4 linked regions of the Elephas maximus indicus genome follow. The protein of the gene in region 1 purifies or fractionates together with the protein of each later gene. This does not show direct contact. Links are inferred from orthologs where the notes say so. Each region holds a gene or a part of one and is shown on either strand. Other genes may lie near its edges.

Region 1 (7,147 bases):
ATCTTTATGGAAGCAGGCTCCCACAACTTTCTCTCGTGGAGCAGCTGGTGGGTTCCAACTGCTAACCTTCTGGTTAGCAGTCAAGGGAGATGCAAATCAAACTGCAATGAGATATCATTTCACCCTCATTAAAATGGCAATAATAAAAAGAAAAACAGAAAACAGGTGTTGGAAAGGTTGTGGAGAAAATGGAACCCTCGTCCATTACTGGTAGGAAGGTAAGCTGATGCAGCCATTGTGGAAAACAGTTTGGCAGTTCCTCAGAAAGTTGAACCTAGAACTAGCATATTACCCAGCAATCCTCGTTCTAGGTATATACCCTGAAGAAGTAAAGGCAGGAACATAAACAGAAATCTGTACACCAATGTCCACTGCAGCATGTTTCCCAACAGCCAAAATGTAGTATCAACCAAAATGTTCATCAACGGATGAACGGATAAACAAAATATAGAATGTACATACAATGGAATATTATGCAGCCCTAAAACGAAATGATGTTCTGGTGCGTGTTACAACATGGATACATCTTGAGAACATTATGCTAATAATGCGGTACAGAAAAGTACACTATGAAACTTAAGTTTCCCTTCAACACATGTCCCAGCCACATCCTGTCCCAGAGGCAACTACCACTACAGAGTGCAATAATTCAGTTACGAAAGGACAAACACTGTATGATCTCACTTATACGAAGTAATGTACAGAAACCAGAAGTTATTCGTGGGAGGGGCGAGGAGGAAGTTTTTGTTTGGGGGGGGCACTGAATTCTCGGTAATGGTGGTGAAGTATTTGGGAAAAGGAGAGTGATATTGGCACAATATGAGGAATGTAATCAATGTCACTGAATTGTGAATGTGGAGGGTGATGCACTGGCCAATGTCTTGGTTTGTATTTTCACCACCATTAAAAAGAAAAAAAAAATTAGGATGTGATAGCGTGAGGTGGTAGGTTAATCTCTATACTTTTCTGTCAGTTTGAAATATTTCATAATGAAATTCTGAAACGTATTTTTGAATATGATTACATTCACGATTCAAATTCAAAAAGTACAAAAGGTACATCAAAGGGACATCTGGGTTTCCTCCAACTGTTTGATAGTACAAGTGCAGTATCACACATGCAGCAGTTATCCAAGTAAATTTCCTAGATACAGAACTCCTGGGTCATTATGGAAAAACGGTGATCTTGAATTTTAATGGATACTGCCAACCTACCCTCTAAGAGGTTGGACCTATTTATTCTCCCACCAGCAAAGTATAAGAACCTGATTCCCTACTGTCTAGCTCACCAATAGTGTTTCTTTTTAATCACTGTTGATCTAACAGATGAAAAAGAAACAAAAACCCCAGCATTTCAGAGTGTAACTACCTTTCTGTAAAAGACAGTATTTAAAAATAATAAGGCGAATGCAGCACAGCTTTGTGAGTCCTCTGTGTTGCCTGATATCCTGGAATAAAGAATGCTCTTAGGAGCTCACTTACTGAGTGGCACCCTGGTCTCCCGATTCATTTTACAGGGGGTTACTCTATCCTGAGGAGCCCTCGTGGTGCTGGGGTTAAGTGCTTGGCTACTAACTGAAATGTTGGCAGTTCGAACCCACCAGCTGCTCTTCAGGAGAAAGATGTGGCAGTGTGCTTCCACAAAGATTTACGGCCTTGGAAACCCTATGGGACAGTTCTACTCTGTCAGAATCCACTCAACTACAATGGGTGGTGGTGGTACTCTAAGGAGCACTGGTGACACAATGGTTAAGCGCTCGAAAAGTAAGCGATTGAAACCCACCCAAATGCTTTGAAGTAGACCGGTGTATCTGCTTCAGCAAAGACCACAGCCTAAAAAACCCGATGGGGCAGTTCTTCTCTGTCACATGGGTTCGCCATGAGTTGAAATCCACTCAAAGGCACTCAACAACAACTCTGTCTTGAAGCCCTTCCCTAGGTTAATCCAGCCCCATAATCTCCCAGATTCCAAACATCACAAGCAAGGCCCCTCCATTCTGAGCTGCTCAAAGCTTTAGGGGGTACAGGAAGTAAATTTTATGTCCCAAGCAGGTACGAACTGGAGAACGTAAAACGAATTTTGATGAATTAATGGACGACCGAGTCAAAAGCATTTAAGAATTTCCAACTCAGCAACCATTTACTGAGTAGACACCAAGTCCTCCGTAGTGCCCCCCCAAAACCAGGACTTTTGGTAGCATGAAGCAAGGGCCAAAACAAAGAGAAAGGGGGCAGCTCTAGAAGAGGGGAGGAGGGAGTGGGTCTTATTTCCCTGAGCTGGGGAAGAGTTCTGGAAGGAATTCCGCGGAGAGCATAGTTGGAACAGGTAGAAGCGCCGACCCTGCAGCCAGTCCCCGCTGCTCCGGCCCAGGTCTGTTCGGTCCGCCCAGGATTTCGGAACCCGGAGGTTTTACACAGACAGCGCGACCCCCAACTTCTCTCATGAAAGGGGGCGAGCTGGCGCGGCTGGGGTCCACGACTGCAGTTTCGGGACCCCCGCGCCCGGAACGCACTCTGTCCCCGGCGACGCCCCTGATGGCGGCCTGGGCGCGCGGCTGAGGAAACTGAGGCTCGCCAAGGTCATGCGGTGGCGGCAGACCTGAGCCGCCCTCCTGTTGCAGGCCCGGCCGTGCAGGGCGGAGGGTCGCGGCCGGGAAGGCCAAGCTTGGGAACGCCGCAGGCGACAAGGCCGGCCCCGGCCCCCGCAGGCGCGGAGAACCGGGAACCTGTCCCTCCACCGGGCGGCGACTCCGGCCCCGACTGCTCCGGGAGGTCCAGCCGGCCGCGCCCCCGCCACGTCAGGCCGCGGGCTCACCTCAGGCCGCCGCCCCCGCGCCTCGAGCCGCGCCCACTCCCGCGCTCCCAGGCCGCCGGCGTCGCTGGCCTGGGGCCGGTGCTCGCTTGCCCGACCGCCCGCAGCCCGCGCTTCCCGCCTCCCGGCCCGCTGGCCCGCCCGATCCGTGCCTAGCAGCTCACCTGGAGCCGCCGCAAGCCGAGGCCGCACTCGCGGGAGGCGGGGCGGGGCGGGGCCTCGCGCGTCACGTGGTCCTCCCGCGCAGGCGCTATGGAGCGCGCGGGCGGAGGCCAGGGGGCGAAGCGACTCAGGCGCGGGGGGCGGGGGCGCAGGGGCGCGGAACCGGATCTCCCCCTGGAGAAGCTGTTCGAGCATCGTCCCCTCCCGCGCATGCGGCTCTGCTGGATCCCTCTGTGGAAAAGGGCGCTTGATCGCCGGGTCCGCGATGCATCCCACACCTTGGCACAGCTCCTGGTACCTGGCGGTGCTGAACGAATGAATAAGTGAAGAAATGAACCAATGCCTGTGGCGAGGGTCACGCCTTGTAAATCTCTTCTCTCACTCAAGCATCCCCTCACTCCGACCTTCCCGCCCTCACTCATTCATTCGTTCAGGCCTTTCCTGACCGGGCGTTGTCGCGCGCCCTCTGCTGGGTGTTGGGGAAAAGAGGTCCATAAGGCAAGGCCCGGCCCTGGGAGCTAAGGCAGGAGAAACACGCGTGAACAGGTCTTTGTTTTCTTGTTTACTGAGATTCTGCAGTAAATGCGATCCCAAATTTAAGGCCTGGCTCCAGCCGTCCACTAGGGACTGCTTGGCACTCATTTTTGTCAGCCTCTGGTCCAAGAAGAGCCGATCCTCCCACGCACATCTGTAATCGCTGTGTCCAGAGGAAAAAGCCACCACAGAACTTCCTGATAGATGGGGTTCAGGTGTCCTACACTGCGGTTGTGAAAGGGGCTGGGAAGGGTGGAGAGAGCTGTGGGGGGAGGGATGGTTTGTAGTAATAAGTAAAAGTGAAGAGGAATGTAGGAGGAGAAAATAAATGAAAGGAATGATGTCCCAGGAGAGTCGACCTTATTGAGCCGAGAGAGCCACCCAGGGTCCAGACAAGGGCAGGGAGAGGGGACGGGTCTTGAGAGCAGAGGTGCCTAGTGGGAGCAGGTTGGGCTGCAGAGGGAGAAAATTCTGGAAGGCTTTCTGGAGGAGGTGACCTTTGAGCTGTGTAAAAGATGATTTTTGGGGAGCATTCCTGGAAGGCGGGTGAGGTGAGTAAAAGCATGGAGGTGAGATCCAGTAAAGCGGGTGGTTAGAAGGTCACCAGAATTGTCTCAGTCTGAAGGAAAAGTTGGAGACCAGACCCAGCTTTTAGAGGCTGGACTTGATCCTCAGGGCAGCCTTTAGCCAGGGCAGGGAGAAGGTTTGATTTGCATTTCAGATACCAACCTGGGCCATAAAGGCTGGCCTGGAGAGCTGGAGAAAGGAGGATGAGAAGCAACAGAGAGGCTGTGGCCTCAGGTGGCAGGGAGTGAAGACAGAGTGGTGCTGGCTGGAAACCTGGGAAGCGGGCAGGTTCCATAGTATGGGTGAGTGATGGGTGAGAGGTGAGCACAAGAGGGATGGTGTGCGACTGTGGAGCCACCCTACCACAGGGAGGCTGGAGCAGGAGTGGCTTGGTGTGGGCAAGATGAAGCTCACGTTGGCAAGGTGGGGGGCCTGCGGACATCCAAATGAGGGCCCCTCTGGAGGGTCAGGCTGGAGGTGCGTATCATGCACCACAGCTGGGCATGACATGTGGAGCCAGAGGAAGTGTGAGGAAAATAAGAATCGGCTGAGAGCAGAAGCACAAGGCACATTGGTGTTCCATGGGCACCAAGAGATCAGGAACCCACAGAGGGGACAGAGGAGGGGGTGATCTCAAAGGCTCAGTGAGAGCCAGGTATGAGGGCAGATCCAGAATGGAGAGGAGGTGAGAACCCAGGATCTGCAATAACGAGAACTTCGGTGGTTTTTCAGGAGCCCTTTTCTCCGAGTGACAGAAGCCAGTCTCCAGGGACTCAGGTGTGAAAGGAGCTGAGGACAGGAAGACTGCCCAGGAGAGCCTAGTCTCTGAGATGAGGAGGACAGGTAAGATTACAGGCTGAAAGCCTGGAGGATAGCACCTTCACATGTGGGAAAATGGAGCTAATGGGTGGAGAGAGTGGGAATGAGTGAAGAGAAGACGTCCTGGAATAAGGGTCGGGGCTGGCCAGGACAAGGGGTTAGGAAACACACTCCTCAATCATCTCTGAGCTAAAGGTACTATCTCAAAATACACCATATATCAGGTGAGTAGTTCACCCATTGGAAAATTCCAGAGGAGGGAAGAGGAGGCGGCGTCTGTAGTCATGGTGTACAGGAAATTCTGATAGAAGCGGGCAGGTTCCATAGTATGGGTGAACTTGCTTCTGAGGAGATCCTCTGTTTCCTGAGGGTAGTAAACTTTATCTGCTTCACAGCTGTATTCCCAGCACCTAGAACAGGGTCTGGTACTCAACAGGTGCTAAGTAAATACAAACTGAAGGAAACGAGAGAAATGCAAAGCAGAAAAACTGGCTATTACAGATGATGGAAGACTTTCTAAGCCTCAAACCATTGGAAGATATCACAAAGGTAAAGACCAACTCATTTGGTTGCAAAATAGTTTGATGGCAGCCAACCCAAACAAATAAAAAGAAAACACTCGAGGAAATTTTTGCAACAAAAATGATAGCAAATGGTGAATAATCCTATGTAAAAAATTCATACAAAAGTAAGAAAATTTTAAGATTGCGGTAGTTAAATGAGAAGGACATGAATAGCACTCAAAAGAGGAAGAATAACTTGATAAGTACTTGAAAGAATCATCAATTTCAGTGAGAGTAAAGATATGCAAAATACATACTGAAAAAGAAGAACAAAGTGGGAGGCCTCTCTCGACCTAAGTTTAGAACCTATTATACTGCCACAGTAGTCAAAACAGCCTGGTACTGGTACAACAGATACATAGACCAATGGAACAGAATTGAGAATCCAGACATAAATTCATCCACATATGAGCAGCTGATATTTGACAAAGGCCCAAAGTCAGTTAAATGGGGAAAAGATAGCCTCTTTAACAAATGGTGCTGGCATAACTGAATATCCATCTGCAAAAAAAAAAAAAAAACCAGACCCATACCTCACACCATGCACAAAAACAAACTCAAAATGAATCAAAGAGCTAAATATAAAATCTAAAATGATGAAGATTATGGAAGAAAAAATAGGGACAATGCTAGGAGGCCTAATACATTGGATAAACAGTATACGAAACATTACTAACAATGCAGAAGAAAAAGTAGATAACTGGGAGCTCCTAAAAATCAAATACCTATGCTCATCCAAAGACTTCACCAAAAGAGTAATAAGATCACTTACAGACTGGGAAAAAGTTTTTAGCTATGACATTTCTGATCAGCATCTCATCTCTAAAATCTACAGGATACTGCCAAAACTCAACTACAAAAAGACAAATAACCCTATTAAAAAATGGGTAAAAGATACGGACAGACACTTCACTAAGGAAGACATTCAGGTAGCTAACAGATACATGAGGAAATGCTCGCAATCATTAGCCATTAGAGAAATGCAAATCAAAACTACAATGAGATTCCATCTTACTCCAACAAGGCTGGCATTAATCCAAAAAATACAAAATAATAAATGTTGGAGAGGTTGTGGAGAGACCGGAATACTTATACACTGCTGGTGGCAATGCAAAATGGTACAGCCACTTTGGAAATCTATTTGGTGCTTCCTTAAAAAGCTAGAAATAGAACTACCATACTATCCAGCAATCCCACTCTTTGGAATACATCCTAGAGAAATAAGAGCCTTTACACGAACAGATATATGCACACCCATGTTCATTGCAGCACTGTTTACAATAGCAAAAAGATGGAAGCAACCAAGGTGCCCATCAATGGATGAATGGATAAATTATGGTATATTCACAGAATGGAATACTATGCATCGATAAAGGACAACGATGAATCTGTGAAACACTTCATAACATGGAGGAATCTGGAAGGCATTATGCTGAGTGAAATTAGTTGCAAAAGGACAAATATTGTATGAGACCATTATTATAAGAAAAAAATAGTTTAAACAGAGAAGAAAATATTCTTTGATGGTTATGAGAGTGGGGAGGGAGGGAGAGAAAGGGGTTTTCACTAATTAAGTAGTAGATAACTATTTTAGGTGTCGGGAAAGACAACACACAATACAGGAGAGGTCAGCACAACTGGACTAAACCAAAAGCAAAGAAGTTTCCTGATTAAACTGAATGCTTTGAAGG
Region 2 (7,821 bases), on another chromosome or scaffold:
CAAGGCTTAGAGGTGATAATAGCCCTGAATTGTAAAGTCCAGGATACCACACAATCTGGTTGCTTCCCCACACCCTGACTACATTGTCTAATCCTTTTATTAAACTTCTGAATTATTCTAAATTCAAGGGGGCCATCTGCTTCCCGCTGGGACTCTGACTAAAGGAATTTCAAAACGTTTTTCTAGGTCCAGAAAAAAACATAATTAAGATTATACAATACAAATAATATCAGAATAGCCTAAAGTAAAAGCAAATATATTTTTCATTCTAAAGTAAATGTTTTACTACAAAAAGATAACATATAAATTTCATAATGAAAATCTAAAAAACTTGGCTTTAAAAATGTACTCTACCATGTATAGACCATGTTGGATCCTCATTTGAAAGAACAATTATATAAAACATTTTTAATTGGGAAACACAAAAATGGACTGGTACTAGGTGATTTTAAGGAATTATTATTTATTTTGTTGACTTAATAATGATATCGTGGGTTTTTTTTAAAGCCCTTATCTGTTAAAGATACATAATAATGCTTTTATAGGTGAAATTATATTATGTTTAGGATAATTTTTAAATAGCACACACACACACGCACACAGGTGCAGTGGAGACATGAAACAAAAGAGAAGATTGTGATGAGTACTTAAGGATTCACTAAGCTATTCTGCTTACTTTAGTGTATTTCTGAAAATTTCCATAATAAAAAGTTAAAAAAAAGTACATTATCTTAGTATACCAAAAAAAAAAAACCTGCAAATTACCTAGGAAACCCTATCAGGCAGTTATACTCTGTCATATAGGGTCACTATGAGTTGGAATCGACTAGACAGCACACAACAACCTAAACGTCCAATAACAGAGGACTGGTTAAATACATCATGGTTTACGCACACAGTGATAATTGCAATAAGCAGTATGGGGAGTCCTTAGCCACAAATCTTCCGTTAGTCAACTCCCCAAGTCATTTCCAATAAGCATAAATGTAAGTAAAAATTGTGTGCTATTTATTTAAAACCTGCTACAGAAAAAAAATCACCTCCTCTTCTTCCAACAAGATTGCCACTGTAAGCACCATATTAATTTTCAACCAACCTCTCTGCATACAAACAGAAGAACATGACCTGGTATCAAAAGCTGTTTACAAAATATTAAGCGAAACAGCAGATTACATAGTACGACACACTGCATTTTACTATTAAAAACGTATGTCTATACAATTCAAAAAAGGTTAAAAAAAAAGGTGCAATAAAATGCTAAGGATTGTTATTTCTATTTTCTAGTTTACATTTTCTTCAATAAACACATTCCGCCACCACCACCAGGGTCCACCAGTCGCTACCAACTTATGGCAAACCAGTGTGTGTCAGAGTAGAATTGTGCTCCATACGGTTTCAGTGGCTGATTTTTTTCCAGGCCTTTCTTTTGAGGCACCTCTGGATTAATTTGAACCTCCACCCTTTCAGTTAGCAGGTGAGTACATTAACCACTTCCACCACCCAGGGAATCTGAATAAACATATTGCGTCTACATTATTTTAAAATAAAAATAAATTTTTTAAAAGAATTATGTATTACAGCAGAGATAGGCCATATTGTCAATTAAGGATAAATTTCCAAAACGTAATGAGAGCTTTACTGTTAAAGCGTCATTTATTAGGGTGAACCCTAAATGCCCTAACGCCAGATCATTAATGACAACATTAAAATAACGGTTGCAAACCTCGTGTCGTTATTTGTCAGTCATAGTTGAAATTCTCACTCAAGGGCACCTGGATGGCCTCAACAAATTTGTAAATCAGATTTAGAATTAAATGTCCACATTTAAGTTGTCTGGTTTTCAGATACCCCTTGCTGGTGAACAGGCCCACCAAAGAAATTCTCCCTTTCCTAAATATTCTCTTTCAGCTCGAAGTTTCACTTTTAAGCAACAATGGAAAAGATTTAAAACATCATTCATGTGCCTAGACATTTGAGAAGCTGGCCGCTGCAAAACATGAGTGTTTAACAAATTCAGCACGTCTTTTTACGTAGGCTGAAACCCCATTTCTACTAACAGCTGAAAAGGACAGAAGCAATGTAGAGAAACCCTAATCTCACATAAATGCCAAGTGTGATGCTGTAAATCCCTCAGTGAATTCTGGTGTAAGAAAGAACAACAATCCCACCCCAGGCCAAAAAAAGTGCTTCCATTAGGGATTTCAGGGCCGATTAATTTTAGAAGCAGCAACATTAGCTCCCCAGCCTGTCGTCACTAGATAAGCCCTTCGGGCTTTGAGAATTCCCACTCGTTTCGCATCTCTCTACACAAGACCAAGCTACCAAAAGGCTACACTGAATGCAAAAATAGGTTAGGTTCCTGAGAAACCGGATGAAATATAAAGGAAAAGATCCAGCAAGAGACAAATAAGTCCCCAGGCTCAGGAGCGGTCATTCCCATAAAGGGCCAAAACGGGGTTGAAAATCACCCCACTGCTCTGGCCCTGTGGCAAGCACCTGCCATTCTCATTACTGAGGAACCGGGTCGTGAGGGGAAGGCGTCCCACCGTCTCGCAAGGTCTCCTGGCATAGACTGCTAGCGGCGCCCGCCCGTTCGCCGACAGACAGCGACGTCGTCTAGTCCTGACACTTAGGTCTCCTAGGGGCATCGCCCTCCAGCCTCCATCCCAACCGCTTTCCCGCTGCCCTCAGGATGCTCACTTAAGGAAACCAACGTGCTCTTCTCCATCTACGAGCACTCGGGCCGCCGAGATCCAGTCCTGGGGTTTCACCCCTGGAACAACTGCACGCCCCTCAATCTTGAAGCGGTCTCCTACACCGACCCCACTTCCCCCCGACCCCTCGGCAGCAGCTCCGGGCACCTCCGAGCTCTGGACACCCCCTGATAGCAGCAGTAGAAGGACGGAACAGAAGCCCCACAGAGCGACCGCCATGGCAGCAGCTCTCAGCGGTCGGCAGCCAATTCCGGAAGCCCTTCTCGTTTCCCAGCCGCAGTCTCTGCCGGCCTGATGTCGTCATCACTGCGCGCCCGATTCTGGCCCGAACTGTAGCCTCAAACTAGAGCGAAGGAATCTTCCGCGGTCGACTGGCGAAGCGGAAGTAGCGTCCTGTGCTCCTCCCGCTCGGGGCTGGAAGGCGGTCAGAGGGGCCTGTCAAGCGCTGCTGAAAGGCGCCGCCCACACAGTGGTGAAATGTGCGTTGCTGTGGCAGCCACAGAGGCCAAAGACGTCACAGAAGTTAAGAATGACAAGTCTGAGAGGGGCAAGGATCCAGACCCCGGCTTCGGGAGAAATAGGTCCAGAGAGAGCTTTAAAAACTGCTAGATTCCCCGAGACGTACTAGACGAATAGATGAAAAGCCACGTTGCAGATTAGAATATATAGAATGCCTTATTTGTGGGTGTTTAAAGGAGGTATTGTCTCTGCATAGAAAATTCTGGAAAAATACACAGACTATTAACTAAGGGCGAGAGGAGGACTGAGGAACTTTTAAATATCAGACACTACACCATTCGTACTTTTTGAATACCAGGAGGATAACAACATTAGGGCGTGGGGGTGGGGGCTGCCATTGTTGATCTTGGGGGCTAGAGTCAAGATTTCAGAGATACTCTGTTCCAGTCCTTTCATTTTTTTTAATGATAGAAAAGGAAAGTGTCTTGTCCAAGGTTCCCGTTGATCTTGAATATTCCCCTCCCTGCTGCAAATCCCAATTGAAGATAATTGAGGGCAATGTATATTTTTGCTCTGTGCAATCTTAGCATTAGCCTTCTAGGAAAGGGTATCAAAAATTGAAAGTAGAAAATGCAAGAGCCAAATACTCCAAGCCCCTTGCAGGTGTTGGGGACCTGACGCTAGGGCAACCCCATACTCTGCTCTCGCAGGCAGCAATTGCCCCTTGGGGTACTTTCCCTCATATTCTGAATATGGTTGTTTCTTCACGTTTGCTCTTTGGAAGGAGCAAGTCTGCTCAGAAGAAAAAACAAAATTAGGCTTTTCTGTTTGGCAGATAAACTTTGTAATTGTTGAGGGAACTGGCGATCCAGGTTCAGGAGATGCGCAAGTAGCTGTCTGATTTCTTCATAAAAAAAAATTTTTTTTCGGAGGTTTATTTTTATCTTATTTACTTTAAAGTCTGTTTAATTTTTGGATAGGTAACACATTCACACACGAGAAGGTAAAAGTCAGTTCAGGACTGAAGAAGCAAAAATCAGCACTGTTCATAATCAGTCTTTGATGTACCTAATAGACCCAGGGCAGTGGCAAGGCCATCGGAAAACAATGCTTCTTCCAAGGCTACACCACAGCTGCAAAATTTCTAAGCAAACACAAAACAAACCCAGATACTGTGAAGTCAGATTCTGACTCGTGGTGATCCCATGTGTTGCAGACCCCATGTGTTGCAAAGTAGAACTCCACAGGGTTTTTCCATGGCTTTGAAGCTTTTGGAAGCAGATTTCCAGGCCTTTCTTCTGAGGCACCTCTGGGTTTGAGGCACTTCTGGATGGGTTCGAACTGCCAGCCTTTTGGTTAGTAGTTCAGCACTTAACCCTTTGTGCCACCCAGGGACTCCTAAAATGACAAATCCTTTTCTGTCATTACTACTTTGTTACCTATGACTTCCCCAGCTATGCTTTCTTCCTCTCACCTCCTGAAAAAAGATTTCTGAGAAACCAAATTCAGAGCTGATGCTCGCCTCCCTTATACCTTCCTTAGAGTAATTCAGCAGAAGCCCAAATGCTATAAATCATTCCTCTGCATTTTACTGGTACACCCACAGTTTCTTTGGTGTGCAATCTTCCTTGAAGCAGTAAGCTAAAAAACCTAACGTTGTTTGACTATAGGGTGTTCCTGGTGGTCTTTAACTGATGGACTTTATCACGTGGTACAACATTCAAACAGTACTAAAGAGTATACAGAGAAAAGTCTGTCACTCACTTCTCTCCGCCAGCCACCCAGTTTCTCAAGAGGCAATCACTGTTATCAGTTTCCTGATTATTCACCCAGATATAATCAATAATATACAAGCCAATATATCCATTTACATATATGTAATTGATATATATGGTATGCTGCCAAGTGTGTATAAAAAGGGGACAGGAATATATATATTTAGCATATAATAAAGAAACATATAAACAATATAATACTTTATTATTTTAATATATTATACCATTTAATATATATTATTATATAAATATACTGTATGTTGTTGTTAGGTGGCATCAAGTTGGTTCCGACTCATAGCAACCCTGTGTATAACAGAACGAAACACTGGCCGGTCCTTGCTGTCTTCATAATAGGTATGTTTGAGCCCATCGCTGTAGCCACCGTGTCAGTCCATCTCATTGAGCGTTTTCCTCAATGAGATGACCCTCTACTTTACCAAGCATGTTGCCCTTTTCCAGGGATTCGTCCCTCCTGATAACACACATGTCCAAAATAATCAAAACAAAGTCTCACCATCCTTGCTTCTAAGGAGCATTCTGATTGTACTTCCAAGACCTTTGTTCATTCCTCTGAAAGTCCATGGTATATTCAGCATTCTTGGCCAACACCATAATTCAAATGCATCAATTCTTCTTTGGTCTTCCTTCTTCATTGGCCAGCTTTCACATGCATTTTATGCAAAGGCATTCCACTCTGTGGATCATAGCAAGTTATGGATAATATTGCAAAGAATAAAAATTCCAGAACACTTAACTGTGCTTGTGTGGAACCTATACATAGACCAAGAGGCAGTTGTTTGAACAGAACAAGTGGATACTGTGATTTAAAATTGGAAAAGTTGTGTGCCAAGGTTGTATCCTTTCACCATACTTTTTCAGTCTGTATCACGGCATCAGGATTGGAGGAAGACTCGCTAACAACCTTCGATATCCAGATGATACAACCTTGCTTGCTGAAAGTGCAGAGGACTTGAAGCACTTACTGATGAAGATCAAAGACCACAGCCTTCAGTGTGGATTACACCTCAAAATAAAGAAAACAAAATCCTCACAACTGAACTGATAAGCAATATCGTGATAAACAGAGAAAATACTGAAGTTGTCAAGAATTACTGGGATCAACTGTCAATGCCCAGGGAAGCAGCAATTGAGAAATCAAATGATACATTACATTGGGCAAATCTACCGTAAAAAAAAAAAAAGACCCCTTTAAAATCTTACAAAGCAAAGATGTCACTTTGATGACTAAGGTGTGCCTGACCCAAGCCATGGTAATTTTGGTAAATTTTGTCAAATTGACTTCCACGAAAGTTGTTCCAACTTTCACCCTTACCAGCAGTGTATAAAACCCATTGCTGTCCATTCAATTCCAACTCATGGAGACCCTACATGTTTCAGAGTAGAACTGTGTCCATAGGTTTTCAGTGGCTGTAATCTTATGGAAGTAAATTGCCAGGCCTTTCTCCTAACTCTGTTTGGTAGATTCAAACTGCCGGTTAGTATCAGAGTGCACCAATGATGTATTGGAGTGCCTTATTCCCTCATATTCTCACCAACAAGTGTGTTATCAAACTTTATTTTTGCCAAACGGGTGGGTTAAAAATGATTTCTCGGTTTTAATTTGTATTTTTCTTATTGTAAGTGAGGTGGACCATTGTATCAAATGTTTTAAGAGCTATTTATAGTTCCTTTTCTGTGACTTCCCTGATTTGTGTTCTTTGCCCATTTTCATTTGAATGATTCATCTTTTCTTATTGATTTGGAAGGGCTCTTAAACATTACAGACATTATATCTTTGTGATATGAGTTGTAAATATTTTTTCCTGGTTCATTCTTTGTATTTTGACTTGTGCTCTCCAATTTTCATCCCTCACTGTCTAAACAATGAGTTATAAAGCTATTACAAATAAACAGAAGCTGGGCAAAGGAAGGACAGTCTTCATAGGCGTAGCCCAGAATAAGAAGTGAGTAGTTGGAGGCATTTTAGATCCCACTGGTTTTTGAGTCCCTATAGAGAGAATGGAAACCCTGATGGCATAGTGGTTAAGAGCTATGGCTGCTAACCAAGAGGTTGGCAGTTTGAATCCACCAGGTGCTCCTTGGAAACTCTATGGGGCTGTTCTACTCTGTCCTATAGGGTCGCTATGAGTCGGAATCGACTCAACGGCAATAGGTTTTGTTTTGTTTTAATTGAAAGAGTGTATTTGACCTCTCTTCTCCTGCCTACACCCATATGTAATGACTGACCCACTGGAGAAGGTCTCCCTCCCCATGTTTTAGCCATCCCCTGTCATGTGGTGAATTAGATCTAAGATGTATTGTGGGATTGGTAGAGAACAGCTGAAGAGGAATGAAGCCATGTGCTCAGCCAAAGATATTTTTCATGAAGGATAAAAGCTCTCAAAATGCTGATTTAAAGATGCAAGGCTCTGCCTGTTATGTTCTTTCCGTAGGAAGTGTTGGGCTGATCCCTGAGACAGGCACTTGTTTCAGTCCTAACCAGAGCAGGAGTAAGCATTTTTTAAGCCATAGTAAAAAGGTTATAATGTGCTGCCACCCTCTACACCACCAGTAACTGTCAAAACTATGCTAAGCTATGAAAATACCGCTTTTCTAAAATGATGGAAAATCTACAAGTATGCTGAAATAAAAAAAAAAAATAGCTTCATTCCAAGTTTTCTGATGTTCTTTCATATATCCTTGGTGACTCTGCTTTGCTGATATCTTAGACACATGTTCAGTTTGACTAATAGGTAATCTGTATTGGCTCTTACCCAAGCAGGAGCTGGGAAGTTTACTTTGTATTGGGCAAAGGGTAGAAGAGGACTGGCAGCAAACAGCAACTGAGCTCTCTGTATCTGCATTTCTGCCTT
Region 3 (7,442 bases), on another chromosome or scaffold:
TCCCCAAAAAATATGTGTTGTAAATCCCAACCCCTACTCCTTGGAAGCTCTATGGGGCAGTTCTACTCCTTCCTATAGGGTCGCTATGAGTTGGAATCAACTCAACGGCACTGGGTTTTATACTTGTGGTGGAGCCCTGGTGGTACAGTGGTTAAGTGCTTGGCTGCTAACCAAAAGGTTGGTGGTTCAAATCCATGAGCTGCTCCACAGAAGAAAGATGTGGCAGTCTGCCTCTGTAAAGGTTAGTCTAAGAAACCCAATGGGGCAGTTCTACTCTGTCCTACAGGGTCGCTACCACAGGAGAAAGATGTGGCAATCTGCTTCTGTAAAGACTACAGTCTAAGAAACCAATGGGACAGTTCTGCTCTGTCCTATAGGGTCGCTACGTGTCAGAATTCAACTCTGAGGCAATGGGTTTATGGCACAGAGAAACAAGCAAGGATAGAGGAAGACAGATACCAAGGAACCAAGAAGCAGAAGCTGAAAAGAGACGAGGACCTCCACTAGAGCCAGCGCCCTGAATTCGAATTTCTAGCCTCCTCAACTGTGAGACTACAGCCTTGAGTATGCGCTACACCTCAATATAAAGAAAACAAAAATCCTCACAACTTAACCAATAAGCAATATCATGATAAACGGAGAAAAGAGTGAAGTTGTCAAGGATTTCATTTTACTTGGATCCAGAATCAATGCCCATGGAAGCAGCAGTCAAGAAATCAAACATGCTGCATTGGGCAAATCTGCTGCAAAAGACCTCTTTAAAATGTTGAAAACCAAAGATGTCACTTTAAGGACTAAGGACCCAAGCCATGGTGTTTTCAATCACCTCATACGCATGCGAAAGCTAGACAATGAATACAGAAGACGCAAGAAGAATGTGATACCTTGAATTACGGTGCTGGTGAATAATATTGAATATACCGTGGACTGCCAGAAACAAGAGGAAGACACTCAACAAGATGGACTGACACAGTGGCTGTAACAATGGGCTCAAACATAACAACAATTTTAAGGATTGTGCAGGACCAGAGGACTGTGTTTAGTTCTGCTGTACATAGGGTTGCTATGAATTGGAACCAACTCAATGACACCTAACAACAACAACAAATTGTGAGAAAATTAATTCGTTTGTTAAACCCACTCATTCGTGGTATTTTTGTTATAGCAGCACTAGATAACTAAGACAGCCACTGAAAAGAATAAGGAATAGGCTTCAGTTCTGAAACTGAACTCCTTTTGAGCCCAATCCCCACCCCTCATTTGACCATATCACCTTTGGCAGTTACTCAAACAGCCTAAGCTTTTATTTCTTCATTTAGACACTGAGGAAAGTAATACCTGACCAACCTGCTTCACTGGCTTACAGTAAGGCTTCAGGAGGTAACACAGAAAAGCGCTTTACAAACTGTAAAGCCCTAGATAACCGTGAGACTTATCAAACGTTGGACTTCTCCAGTTCCTACAGTCTCAATGCTTAGCTAACTACTCTTTCAATCCCACCAAAAATCCTGCCTCCCCTACAAAACCTTGATTGCTCAACCATCATTTATATTCCTTTCCTTCCAATGGTAGCACCAAGGGCTCTATGACATAATTGGCCTGGCACAGTTCTCTATTACTTTCTGTGTTCCATCTTCTGAACTATACTAAGCATCCAGGGGGGAAAGACCATTACTTATAGATCCACATCACCAGTACAGCTGCTGGAGAATATAAAACACATTCAGTAAATACTTGCTTACTACTTACTACACTCAAAAGTACACAATCAACTTCACTGAATGAATACTAATAGCTCCTTAACACAATTTAACGTGGGTTGTATACACGTACTCAAATGTGAACTTAGTAATTACGCAAATAAGTGTAAATTTAATAATGTTATGACTGTCTCTGACCTGCGAATTCACATTTCAAACAAGATGATCATACCCATTCATCAACACAATCCCTCAGTCATCCCTTCCACCTCCAGAGTCTGTCTTTGTAGTTTTGGGGCGTGTAGATTTCTGTTGACGTAAATTTGTCTTTCCTCCCGTCTGACCTAACATCTGCATCGTTTTCATTCTCTGACAAGCAGCGCCTAGCACTTGAAGAATTATGCACTGTGGGGTGAAGAAGATCCTCAACAACCAGTTTACTACTTCTGTCACGTAAGTATATCGTGTGTAAAACTGGGCTGCTTGAGAGCTGGTCACAGCTCCCACAGAAGAATAACCTGATACCCGATCAGCGTTTCAGATTACTTTCACAGCCATTATCTCATCTGGTCACCATCACAATCTTGCGAGACAGGTCTACAGAATCACCAGATGAGAAAATTGAGGCTGGGAGAAGTATTCCACAACTTAAGGGGGGCGGAGCCAGAAACGCAGCTTGGACTGCAAGGGAAGTCAGGGAGCAGGTTGCCCGCAGGAATGAAGCTCCCGGGACCTCTTTGGCCTCAGTGACCGGCTACTGGGCAGACGATCGGGTGGACACGAGTTGGGAACCTGCCCGCTCCGCTGTTACCTGCAGCACCAAGGCCTGGGCCGCCCCCGGCGGAAAGCCCATGCGGTCAGAAGGGTGGCGCAACAGGCGGTAGAAGTCGGTCTTGCGGTAGAGGAAACCGAAAAGCACGCGCAGAAAGTCCTGGACGTTGCCCACATGCTGCAAGATGCCCAGCAGGGCCTGGTCGTACAACTCGGCTGACCCGGGCTCCATGTCCTCTGGCCGGCCCAGGAGGAAAGCTCACGCACTGCTGAAGGATGGAGCAACCCGGACCAGCAAGCCACTTCCGGCGTGCTGCAGCTAACGGCTCCGCTGGCCAGCACAGCCGCGAACTTCCAGTCCGCTCTCGTTTCCCCTAGCCCTGCGGCCCTAGAGACGCGTTTTGGCTGCCGATCCGGGAACACCGTCCTTATTGCCCCTGCCTGGCTTTCCCGCCAGCCGGCCGTCGCTGCAAGAGCCAGAGGTAGAAACCAAAGTGGCTCCTAAGCGGAAGGCGCCCCGCGGTTGCCGTACTGAAGACATCTAGGGACCATGATTGAAACGGGCGGAAGGATTGCGGCTGCGGGCACTGGCACGTGTACAGGAGCGTCACTTGATCTACTGGTTTTTGTCACGTGGCCTGTGGGACGCTTGATAGTTTCTGGGCTGAATTCCCGGCTAGGTGTGCTGAGCTTAAGAAGCCCTGGTAGTGCGGTGGTTAGGCGCTCCACCGTTTACTGAGCCAGCCACTCTGCGGGAGAAATATGTGGAAATCTGCTTCCATAAAGATTACAGCGTTAAAAGACATATGGGACAGTTACACTCTGCCCTATAGGGTCACTATGCCTCAGAATTCCTTCCACTGTAACAGGTTTGGTTTCGGTTTTTATCAGGAACTCAGTGGCTAAAAAAGCTGGCGTCGCTTTGAGTTTTTTCAGTAAGTCAGGTAAGGAGAAATGCGTGTATGTGGAGTATATGAATTTCCTATTAGTAACAGCTGTGAGTGAAATTAAAGGCGTTGCATCGGAGGAAATTCAAGGTGACTCAAATAAGAGGAGAAAAGAAATGTAAAATGAGTGCATGCATAAGAGCTAGGTGCAGAATAAAATCCGTTGCTGTGGAGTGGATTCGGACTCACAGCGACCCTATAGGACGGAGTAGAACCGTCCAGGTGCAGAACAGAGGATCTAATAACCCGATGTTGTGAGATTTTTGTGATATGTGTGACGTGTCATAAGTGTGTCAAAGTATACTTTTCATACACACAGCAAACACATGTCAATGATCTTATTCAACAGATTAATGAGGGAACCATTTAAATGCTGAAGCTAGTTCAAAGCGCATTTTGAGAAACTAGGTATTTATAGACATTTTGAGAGAAAAAAAATACTAGAGTAAGATTGCTAGGTTACATACAAAGCTGCTTTGTGTTCTACAAGATAATTAAGCCATAGATTATATTTTCTACTGGGTAGAAATTATTTGCATCTCTAGTGTACTAAAATCACGAGTTAACATATACCTTCACAGTGTATGAGCTCTAACCAATTGTAGACAACAAAGCCGACCTCACATAAATTGTTCAACAGCAGTGGTGCTGAAACTTTTGGGATTACGTTCTCAAAATGTATTGAGCTTTTGTTTATGTAGGTTATACCTATCGATATTTACCATATTATAAGTTAAGACTGAGAAATTTTTAAGTACTCATTTTTAAATAACTAATAAACACATAAGTTGACATGTTCATGGAAAACAATTACACTTTTCAAAGCAGTAAAAAAGCTTGGTGAGAAGACTGACACAGTCCTACATTTTTGAAAATCTCTTTAATGTCTGGTTTAAAAAAAGACATCAGGATTCTTGCATCTCCTTCTGCATCTGCTGTATTTGCCATATGTTGTTTTGGTTGCAGTATATATAGAAAGCTCAGTCTCACAAAGATAGGAGTTGGAAATGGGAGAAGTATTTTAATTGTCTTTCCAAATAAATGGATATTCTTTGTTAAAACTGTACCAAAACTCTTCTTTGAAACAATAACAAAGCTATACCAAAAACTAAAGTTCTTAAAAGTTAGTTGCAATGTGGACTCTGAAACCATATCAATAAACATTTCCTACTCTGCTACATTAATATCTACTGGTTTATCCAGCAGTTTCAGTGGACCTTTTATGTGCATGATTTTGTAACCTCCTGTATTAGTCATTTAAAAAATGTTGGTTTGTCGAGTTGTGCAGCTCTTCCAAATGTTTACATTTCATCATACAATATCAAAGAATCATGTTTGTTAATATTACCACTAATCAGAGAAGGCCTTAATTACTGGGAAGCTGTCAAGTTGATGGAGACATAGCACAGTTTATCACTTGAAAACTTGAATTTTATTATTGGCAAATAATAGTGTCAGTTGTTTTCCTGGAAGTGGCAGACTTACTTCGTTCTTTCTGTCATTCTTTCAAGTAAAAATGGTGTTCCATGAAAGGGGCTACTTCAGCTGGCAACTCAATTACACCAGTGCTTTCTCCCAAATCAACCATTATACTTCAGTATGAATGAAGCTAAGGATTTTATGTGCACTTCTCTTTCATCACATAGAATGTTACAAAGACTTCTTCTGAAGTGTCAAGATTTAATAAAATTCATAACTTTAACACTTCATCAGGGACAGTCTTAAGTGGAACTTTTTTTTTTTTTTTGACTATGGTGTAAGGTAGTGAAGGATGTACTGACTACTAGTTAAGTTAATGCCACTGCCTTGATTTATGCTGTTGTACTTGTAGTTTTACCCACCATTGATTTTGTATCATCAGTGCAAATGTCAACACAGTAAAAATGCAAGTAACATCCTAATACTATGATTTTGACTTTGGAAGCCCCCAAGGGTACATAGATTACACTTTGAAAACTGCTGCCCAGGAGAATTAAATAATCCTTGGGTAAACATGTTTTGTAATGCCTCAGTATGGCTTTGAAAGGACATGCAGGAAAGGGGAGGGGGAGGACTGGGGAATACAGGTAAGAAGGAGACTTACTTTTGAATTTAATACCATATACATATGCATTACCTGTTCAAAAAGAAAATGAAAAAGGTGAGTAGAAAGTTAAGCATAATCTTATGATCGAGCAGTCATACTCTTTGATATTTACCCAACTGATTCAAAAACCATGTCCACCCAAAAAACCTGCATGTGAATATTCATAGCAGCTTTACTCATAATCACCCAAAACTGGAAGCAACCAACATGTCCTTCAATAGGTGAATGGATCAGTAAACTGTGGTACAGCCATACGATGGAACACATTCGGGATAAAAAAGGAGTGAGCTATCAAGCCACAAAAAGATATGAATTAATCTTAAATGTATATCGCTATAGTAGCCAATCTGAAAACGATACATATGATCCCAATTATATGACATTCAGAAAAAGCAAAACTATAGAGATGTAATAAGATCAGTAGTTGCAGGGGTTGGGAGGAAGAAAGTTTGACTAAGTGAAGCATGAGATTTTTTAGGGTGATGAAGCTATTCTATACAATGCTAATGGTAGATACACGACACTGCATTTTTCAAAACCCATAGAACTTTACAGCCCAAAGAGTGACCCTTACTGTATGCAAATTTAAGAGGTCAAGGGATTCCAGGATAGAATGCAGAATGTGACAAAAGAAGCTGGCTGTATACAAATGTATGAAACAACCTGATTGAAGGAGATAGGGGAAAAGATGCTGACCTAAGTAACTTTGGAAATGAAGCCTGTAAGGCAAAAGTATCTGCACATAAGCACTATAGTCTAGCTGATAAAGTTGTTTCCTATGGGGATTTGGTGTATCAATTCCAAAATCACTATACCTGTACAATGTAATTGAACAGTTGAGTAAATGGATGCTTATGGTTGGAGCCAGGTTTCTTACTACTGGAGTGGGTGGTTACAGATAAGTGAGGGGAGGAGGCCAGAATGATCCACATGGTAATGATTAAAGTTGGAGACATCAGTATAAGCCCATGGTTAGCTTAATATAGATACACATAATTACACAGAGAAACAGTTATAGAAATGTGAGTATACATGGGTCAATAGACACATATTTCCTTGCAATGCCAGCTGAGAAGGCCCAGAAGCAACAATACCTCAGTATCAGTGAACAAACCTAGTACCCGCATATTGATTTCTAATGCTATTCTCCAATAAAAGGAACCAGAGCTCTTTGGAGAAACCTGACAAACACTACCTCAGCCAGGTGATCAAGGTAAACATCAATAGTCATAAATCATATTGATAGGTGTGCCTTTGATAAGATGTGATGATAATAGCATTTTACCTCTGTGGTCTTCCTCCAAAAACCTGTAACTTCAGTCTTTTTAGATGAACATCAGACAAAACTCAATTCAGGTAGCTAAAAAGGAAAGACTAGACTTGCTGGCCTGACAGAGAATGGAGAAGCCCTGAGAGTATGGCCCCTGGACACCCTTTCAGCTCAGTAATGGAAGTCACTTCTGAGATTGAACAGGCCCATAAAACAAAATGAGACTAAAGGGGCACACCAGCCCTGGGGCAAGGACCAGAAGGCAGGAGGGGACAGGAAGGCTGTAATAGAGAACCCAAGTTTGAGAAGGGAGAGTGTTGAAATGTCATGGGGTTATTAACCAATGTCATAAAACAACAGGTGTACTAACTGTTTAATGAGAAACTAGTTCGTTCTGTAAACCTTCATCTGAAGTACAATAAAATAAATAACCCAATTTGGGGACATTCTACAAAATACCTGAACAGTACTTCTCAAAACTGTCAAGGTCATCAAAAACAATGAAACGCTGACAAATGCTCACAACCAAGAGGAGTCTAAGGAGATACGACAACCAAATGCAATGTGGTGTCCTGGATGGGATCCTGGAACAGAAAACAGACATTAGGTAAAAACTAAGGGAATCTAAATAAAGGATGGACACCAGTTAATTATCAATATTAGTTCAT
Region 4 (7,571 bases), on another chromosome or scaffold:
CTGCAGGGTTGTTGTGAGGAATAGGTGATGCTAGTTAGCAATTACGACTTCTTTTCAGTACTTTGAGCCAAGCACATGGCTAAGTACTTTACGTACATTAGAATATTGAATTCTCTTGATAACTCTAGAGGTTCAGGGGTAAGAGCCTCATCTCATGATTGAAAAAAACTGAGCTCAGATTGGTTCAGTGACTTGTCTCAAATTGTACATCTCATGGTGTGAGAGGATCATGTTTATAGGCAGGAGAGAAGGCTCCAGTGGGAAGGGTAGGTTTAAACATTTTAGGCAGAGATGATTATTGATAGAACAAGGCTCTTGCTGGGGGTGGGCTGAGAGCTCAGGAAAAGTCGATGCTCTTTACCAAAGATGAAGCAGCAGCTAAGTGTCGTATTTTCTCTCCCCAAGTCCCATCTTGCATTGTCTGCATCGCGCCTTCACGTTCTGTCCTGCATTGCCAGGTCACAGCTGGGAGCTGCTGATTTTTTTCTCTTCTTCTCTCACTAGTATTTTAATAAGCGAAAGACCTACTTTGCTCATGATGCACTTCAGCAGTGCACAGTGGGGGATATCGTGCTTCTCAAAGCCTTGCCTGCCCCACGCTCCAAGCATGTGAAACATGAGCTGGCCGAGATCGTTTTCAAGGTTGGGAGAGTCATAGATCCAGTGACGGGAAAACCCTGTGCAGGAACGACCTACCTGGAGAGTCCAGTCGGTTCGGAGCCCACTCACCTGACCGAAGGTCTGAAAGAACTCACCATCCCCTCAGCACAGTAAAGGCAGAGGAGAAGAAGGCGCCACAGGGAGGGAGTTACAAGTTTGCTTTGTGGAAAAAGAAACTTTTCAAAGTTTTGTCACAAACTTTGTCCAATTTCCCTACTGGTATTTATGAAATTCATAAAAGCAACTGAAGTAAAAGCTTGTTGTAATTTTTCATAAAGGTTTATTTTCCTAAAGGCTTTATTTTCTTCTCAGTGACCATACTTTCATGTTAAACCTAGCAATCCACCGTGTCATTCTGTAAGCTCATTGTTTTCGAAGGGGTATTGTTTTTTCATTCTAAAGAAACCTGGACTTGTCTTAGAGCCTTTATTTTAGGAAAAGAAAAACTTTTGATGTAAACCAGTAAGACCACATTAAGTATTTGCTTTTGGTGGTATATATTTAAAATTAATTTTTTTTTTTCTGATTTCACCAATTCTGAGGAAAATAGCATGCTTGTGGTCAGATTTTATCAGATTAAGCTGTATTAATAAAAAATGTCAACATGTAGAAAATTTTTATAAAATTTTGTGTCACTTTTCTTACATCCTAGGTTCTAGGCTAGTTTAATTAAAACCAGTAACAGTGGCTGTCAGTTCGGACTCATGGCAACCCCATGTGTTTCAGAGTAGAACTGTGCTCCACGGGGTTTCAATGGCAGATTTTTTGGAAATAGATTGCCAGGTCTTTCTTCCAGGGTGCCTGTGTGGACTCAAACGGCCATCCTTTCAGTTAGCAGCTAAGCGAATTAACCGTTTGCATCACCCAAGGACTCCAGTTTAAATAGGCTGAGTTCTTAAAATCCAAGACATTGCCAAAGTCGTAGGAGTTTTCACACACGCATCTGAGTTGGAGAGTTTGAGTTTGTTGCTGTTGGTTAATGAACTGTGATAGCTTAGACTTAAACCAAAGAAAAATTGAGCTATATAATTCAGTTTGTGGTTTCTAAAAAGAGATTTGGATCCTATCTGAGCTTCAGCCAACATGAGTATTGTTCAACGATGACTGCAGGCAGGCCGCCCTCTCAGGACTCACAGTCTCATGGAGGACATATGCAGCCTGCCGTCATGGCCAGCAGGAGCACATGGGTCCTTCCCAGGAGAGGTGAGAGAGTGCTCAAACTCAGTCTGAGAGGAAGAGTCTCCAGGCTGGCAGGTGGTGGGTGGGGGGTGTGTGGAAAGGGCACTCCAGCCAGAGGAAAGGGAGTGTAAAGTCCCCAAAGTGTGAAAGGGGACTGAAAGTAGGAAGGATTGCTGGGGGTGGAGCTCCGGTAGAGAAATAAAAAAAAAAAAAAATGAAATAGGAGTTACATTTTATGTCATTGTAGATTATTTAAAGAGAAAATGATACTGCATTTCAATAACAGTGATAGCATCAGTGGACTGGAAGGGGAAGGATTAGAGGTGGGGAGATGAGACCTGTTGGAAGGCTGTGGCCCTCAGACCTGAGCTACACTGGGCGGGGAATATGGTGAGAGGATGGGTAGATAATGTTCCAGAGCTCTCTCAGGGCTTGACACCAGGGGGGATGAGCAAGAGCGAAGCATCTAAGAGAGCTGCTGATACCACCCAGGGGTTCCTTACCACACCGATGTGTTCAGATGCTGCCCTAGCCAGACAGCTGCATCTCTCCTGCCCAGTGCACCTTTCACTCCCAAGATTCCCAGTTTTGGAGCCTCCCAGTCCACAAATCTTGTCCGTCCCCGCCCCCCCCAGCTCTGGTGCCTAGGTAGCGGAGGCCTCCCAAGTTGCCCAATCCTGACAAGGCAGCAGCCTTTGTTACTGCCTGGTGCCTCTTAGGAAACCCTGGTGGCCTAGTGGTTAAGTGCTACGGCTGCTTACCAAAGGGTCGGCAGTTCAAATCCGCCAGGCGCTCCTTGGAAACTCTATGGGGTGGTTCTACTCTGTCCTATAGGGTCGCTCTGAGTCGGAATCGACTGCAGCACTGGGTTTGGGTTTTTTCGGTTTAGTGCCTCTTAAGTGTGGCCATGAGCGAGAGATTACACCCCAGAGCTTGTTTCCTCTTTCAGGCTGGACGAGTAAGCCAGCGAGACCCGGTTTAAACTAGTTCAAGAGGCCTAAAGTTAACCTTGGCTCATTAAGTGCCTCACACATAGTAACCCCTAGGAGGAGTTCAACTGCCGTTTTCTAAACACATCCCGTGAAGTTGCATTTGACCCTTACTGCAACTGCCTAGCATGGTTTAGAATGTCGATGTAATTCAAGTGATCTCCCTGCTTGTAAGCTCTATAAAAGTGACCTTCCTAAACCTTATTCTTGCCAACAGCCTTGGAGGCACCAACCCTGACTCTTCCTTGCTCAAGGAAATAGAGCTGCCTTTCTGATCTCCCACCTTGGCCTCGTTTATTGGCTGTGACAGGTGCGCCAAACAGGACCTGGAGTTTCCAGCAACACTGAGGGCATTTTCCTCTCAGCCTCTGGAGCTTGGAACTGGCAGACCACTGCCTTCTTGAAATGCTCCCCTGCAGGCTGCAGCCCTGGTCCTCTGCCTTGTCCCCTCCTCTCAGTGTCTGGCTTCCTTCCTGCCCATCTTGTCTTGGTTGCAGTTTTTCACGGTTCATCTGTGGCTCTTTATCTTTACTCAGGAAATATTTTCCCTGAACACTCATCTGGGCTGGCCCTCTCCTTTGTTTAAGTTGTTCCCTCTGTCAGGAATGTCCTCCTTTCTACCATTGGTCAACTCTTTCCAAGAGGACTGAGCTGTGGGGCCAGCTCCTCTGGGGACTTTTTCCTGGTCTACCCTCCCCTTCCCAGCTATCCTCAGTTACACAGCCTTTTCCTTCGAGTCTTGTGAACCACTGCATTTGAATACTGACACTTCCATCCGATCACCAGTTCACATCATGTCCCCACCATAGGGGGGCTGCTTGAGGGTACAAACGGGGACTCCACATGACCAGCACCCTTCAGTGCCTAAATGAACAGGAGTGAATAATCAAGAGACTGGGAGAGAATTTGAGTGTTTCCACCCAAAATGCTTTTATTAAAGTGTTCTCTTTTTTTTTGTTGTTAGAAAAGGTAATATACTCACAAGGAGTCCTGGTGGCACAATGGTTAAGTGCTTGGCTGCTAACTGTAAGGCTGTGGGTCTGCGGCTCGAAGCCACCCACTGCTCTGTGAGGGAGGGGGAAAGATCACAGCCTTGGAAATCCCGAGGCAGTTCTACTCTATAGTATCCCCCATACGGTCACTATCAGTTGGAATCTGGCAATGATTTGGTATTTTATTTTAATATATTCACATGGTGCAAAATTTAAGGAGTCCCCGGATGCAAACGGTTAATGCCCTTGGCTGCTTCCTGAAAGGTTAGAGGTTCCAGCCCCTTCAGAAGCACCTGGGAAGAAAGGCCTACCAGTCTACTTCCAAAAAATCTGCCATTGAAAACCCTATGGAGCACCGTTCTACTCATGGGGTCGCCATAAGTCAGGCTCTCAAGGCAAATGGTCTTAACAGAATTCAGAAGGTACTGGGGAGAAGTCCCCTCCCACATGTGCCCCCTAGACTCTGGGCTCCCCTGGGCAACAGCGCGACTCTCCTTGTGAATCCTTGCACGCACATTCAAGCAGGTCCGTGTTCCTTTGCACACCGTGCTCTGAGCGCCCAGCTTTGCCGACTGTCTCCCGCTTCCAAGTCTCTTCGGCCGACACCCAGTGCCTCCCCTCGGTCCCCGCCCCGGCCACGCCCCCGGCCCTGGCCACGCCCCGTCGGCCGCGCTGCTCCCCCTGGCGGCGGCGCCCCGCACTGCAGCGCCCGCCCCGCACTGCAGCGTGCGGCCGGCCGGGGGAGGGGTCACGCCAGCGGCTCCGGCGGCGTCACGGCGGCGGTAACCCAGCGCCCGAGCAAGATGGCGGCGCGAGTGCTGCGGACCCGCGGAGCGTCCTCGGCCGGGAGTCTGCTGCAGCGGCCCGGCCCCTGCGGCCTCCTGTCCGCGCTCCGGTGAGCAGCGCCCCTTTCCCGGGGCGGCGGGGAGGGGCCGCGGCAGGCGCGGGCGAAGGCGGCGTCCTGGCGCCCGGGGGGCAAGGCCGGCCGGGCTGCGCGGCTGAGTCGGGGCGCCCTCCCGCCGGCGGGCTCAAGGTCACGGCGGGGACGGGCGGCGCGCCCCGCCCCACTGGGAAGGCCGCCGCTCGGCGGGAGGCCACGTCCGCTAGCCGCGCAGCCCGGGCCGTGGACCTTGACCCGGCGGCCCGAGCGCGGCGGAGCCAGGCCTTGCGCTCGGGCCGCCAGGTGTCCCGAGGGCGCCCGGTGTCTGCGGCTGCGAAGCGGCGGGGCTCCGGATGTTTACGGCTCAGGTGGTCGTGGGGACAAAATAAAGACCTCGTCCCCGGTGAAGGGTGGTGGGCACAGGAAGCCAGCCTGCAGAGAGCCTCAGACTGGATTTTTAAAGCAGGCTGTGGATGAAAAAGTATTGACAGATAACAGCGCCAGATATTTAACCGTGGGTCATGTTTAAACTGTTTCTGACGTGTGTGGAGTCGACGTTCAGAAATCCTATAAAAAAAAAAAAAAAAACCAGAAACCCTATAGGGCAGTTTTATTCTTTAGGGTCACTAGCTATGAGTCAAGAATCAACTCGAAAGCAACGACTTTGAGTTTTTGGTCACCTTGGGTGGTTTAAATATTACCTTTCCTTTACAGTAAATAATGAGCTTCTAGAAAGTATAACCCATTGCTGTCAAGTCAGTCCTGAGTCATGGGGACCCGTGTGTGTCAGAGTAGACCTGTGCTCCATAGGATTTTCAGTGGCTGATTTTTCAGCAGTAGATCGCCAGGCCTTTCCTCCAACGCACCTCTGGGTGGATGTGAAACTCCAGATTTCTGAGCGCATTAACTGTACCGCCCAGGGACTCCTCTTGTCTCCTAAACCAAAGAACTAGTTGTCATTGAGTTGTTTCCGATTCATAGTGACCCTGTGTGTGTCAGAGTAGAACTGTGCTCCGTAGAGTTTTCAGTGGCTGATTTGTTGGAAGTAAATTGCCAGTAAGTTAGTATGGGCTTTGGTTTTTGAATGTGAAAAATGGGCATGGCCTCTAGTCTGCCTTAATTTAAGTGTTCAGTAGGCCTCGACCTAAACCCAGTTAACTTGCTCCTTCTATCAAATATTGAGTGCATACAATGTAATTGGAGCCCTGTGGAGCCAGGGATGTCCCTGGGTGGTGCAAATGGTTAAGTGATCGGCTACTAACTGAAAGGTCGGCAGTTCAAACCCACCCAGAGGCACCTCAAAAATAAGGCCCTGGTGATCTGCTTCCGAAAGCTCACCGCCAGTGAAAACCCTAAGAGTGCAGATTTACTCTGCAACATATGGGGTTGCTATGAGACAGAATCAATTTGATGGCAACGGTTTGGTTTTCTGGAGCTAAGATAAACAAAATAGCCAAGGTCGCAGCCCCCAGGGAGGCGGGGTCCCCATAAAGTAGGTAAAAACCCATATAGAACATGAACAGACATGTGCACCTATGTTCATCATTGCTTTATTCACAATAGCAAATAAATGGAAACAACCGAAGTGCCCGTCAATGGGTGAATGGATAAGCAAATTGTGATCACACACATCAGTGGAATACTACGCAGTCATAAAGAGCAACGATGAGTCAGAGAAATATACTATCACACAAATGGACCTGGAGGGAATAATGCTAAGTGAAATAAGTCAAGCATATAAGGACAAATATTGTATGACTCCTCTTTTATAAGATAAGAGTAGATAAATACAGAGAGACCAGTGTTCGTTAGTGGTTACCAGGGAGAAGAGGGGAGTGGGGAAAGTACACTTTATACTGTAGAGACTAGTTATTTTTGGTAACAGGAATAGTGGCACTGAATGCGGATGTAGTGAGCACAGTACAACCCTGGGGAAAAAAAGCGTTTGAGCACGCATGAATGGATATAGGGAAATTCGTATACGGGTAGGTACAGGTGTGTACATAAATGAGAGCAGATAGAGGTATCTATACCCGTTGCCGTCGAGTGGATTCTGACTCGTAGTGACCACTATCTGTAGGTAAGTGTAAATACAAATATGTGGGTGCAGACACGTTTACCGAAGACACTAATATGGTTACTCCTCAGACATGACCGCATACCTTCCAAGACTGGTGTTCTGGATTTGAAGGCATAGAACCATAGTCTCATGGGACAACTCAGTCAATTGGTATAACATAGTTCACAAAAACCGTGACCTGCGTCCTAACGAAGTGGGTACTGTCTGGGGTCTTAAAAGCTTGCAAGCAGCTATCTAAGACATAGCTTAGGGTCTCTGTTGGCCAGGAGTAAAACAGTAAGCAGGTAACCAAAAGCATAGAGAAGAAACAAGTCAACATGAGCCACAACCTCATCTAACCTGAGACCGGAAGAACTAGATGGTGCGTGGCCACCACCAGTGACCGTTCTGACCGGGGTCAAAGTCGTTGGTCCCGGAGAGAATGGGAGAAAAGTATGGAGCAGAACTCAAATTCTTATTAAAAACACATACACACACAAACTGGAACAGTAAAAACAGAAGACCCTCTGAGACTATTGCCCCGAGATGCTCTTTAAACCTACAGCTGAGCACGAAATAGTAAAATGGCACACAGAATAAAGGATATTACCTGTAAGATCGGTGCTCTAATTAAAAACCATCACTATTTGACCAAAGAGCCAACAGTTACTCAAGAGCGAGGATGAGAAGATAAAGGGGCAGGGAAACTAGAGTACTGGAAAGGGAACAAACTGAACACAAAGAGAATGTTGACACATTGTGGTAAACGTAACCAGCGTTACCGAACAACTTGTGTGGAAACTGTCAAATGA

The links.
Region 2: the proteins of KLHL22 (region 1) and EMC7 purify together in Homo sapiens (co-immunoprecipitation; 3 studies listed by BioGRID and IntAct, counting the BioPlex papers as one, with this or other methods). This does not show direct contact. The link is inferred for Elephas maximus indicus from reciprocal best matches to the Homo sapiens genes KLHL22 and EMC7.
Region 3: the proteins of KLHL22 (region 1) and NUDCD3 purify together in Homo sapiens (co-immunoprecipitation; 3 studies listed by BioGRID and IntAct, counting the BioPlex papers as one, with this or other methods). This does not show direct contact. The link is inferred for Elephas maximus indicus from reciprocal best matches to the Homo sapiens genes KLHL22 and NUDCD3.
Region 4: the proteins of KLHL22 (region 1) and NIPSNAP2 purify together in Homo sapiens (co-immunoprecipitation; 3 studies listed by BioGRID and IntAct, counting the BioPlex papers as one, with this or other methods). This does not show direct contact. The link is inferred for Elephas maximus indicus from reciprocal best matches to the Homo sapiens genes KLHL22 and NIPSNAP2.

Annotation. Positions count from the first base shown.
Region 1 is NC_064840.1:21,860,585-21,867,731, forward strand, and holds the start of KLHL22 (kelch-like protein 22), read right to left. Parts: upstream 3,020-7,147; 5' UTR 2,976-3,019; intron 1-2,975. UniProt on the Homo sapiens protein: Substrate-specific adapter of a BCR (BTB-CUL3-RBX1) E3 ubiquitin ligase complex required for chromosome alignment and localization of PLK1 at kinetochores.
Region 2 is NC_064828.1:23,754,169-23,761,989, forward strand, and holds the start of EMC7 (ER membrane protein complex subunit 7), read right to left. Parts: upstream 3,003-7,821; 5' UTR 2,934-3,002; coding exon 2,701-2,933; intron 1-2,700. UniProt on the Homo sapiens protein: Part of the endoplasmic reticulum membrane protein complex (EMC) that enables the energy-independent insertion into endoplasmic reticulum membranes of newly synthesized membrane proteins.
Region 3 is NC_064826.1:120,658,047-120,665,488, reverse strand, and holds the start of NUDCD3 (nudC domain-containing protein 3), read right to left. Parts: upstream 3,013-7,442; 5' UTR 2,704-3,012; coding exon 2,512-2,703; intron 1-2,511.
Region 4 is NC_064830.1:103,039,234-103,046,804, forward strand, and holds the start of NIPSNAP2 (protein NipSnap homolog 2), read left to right. Parts: upstream 1-4,561; 5' UTR 4,562-4,623; coding exon 4,624-4,715; intron 4,716-7,571. UniProt on the Homo sapiens protein: Protein involved in mitophagy by facilitating recruitment of the autophagy machinery required for clearance of damaged mitochondria.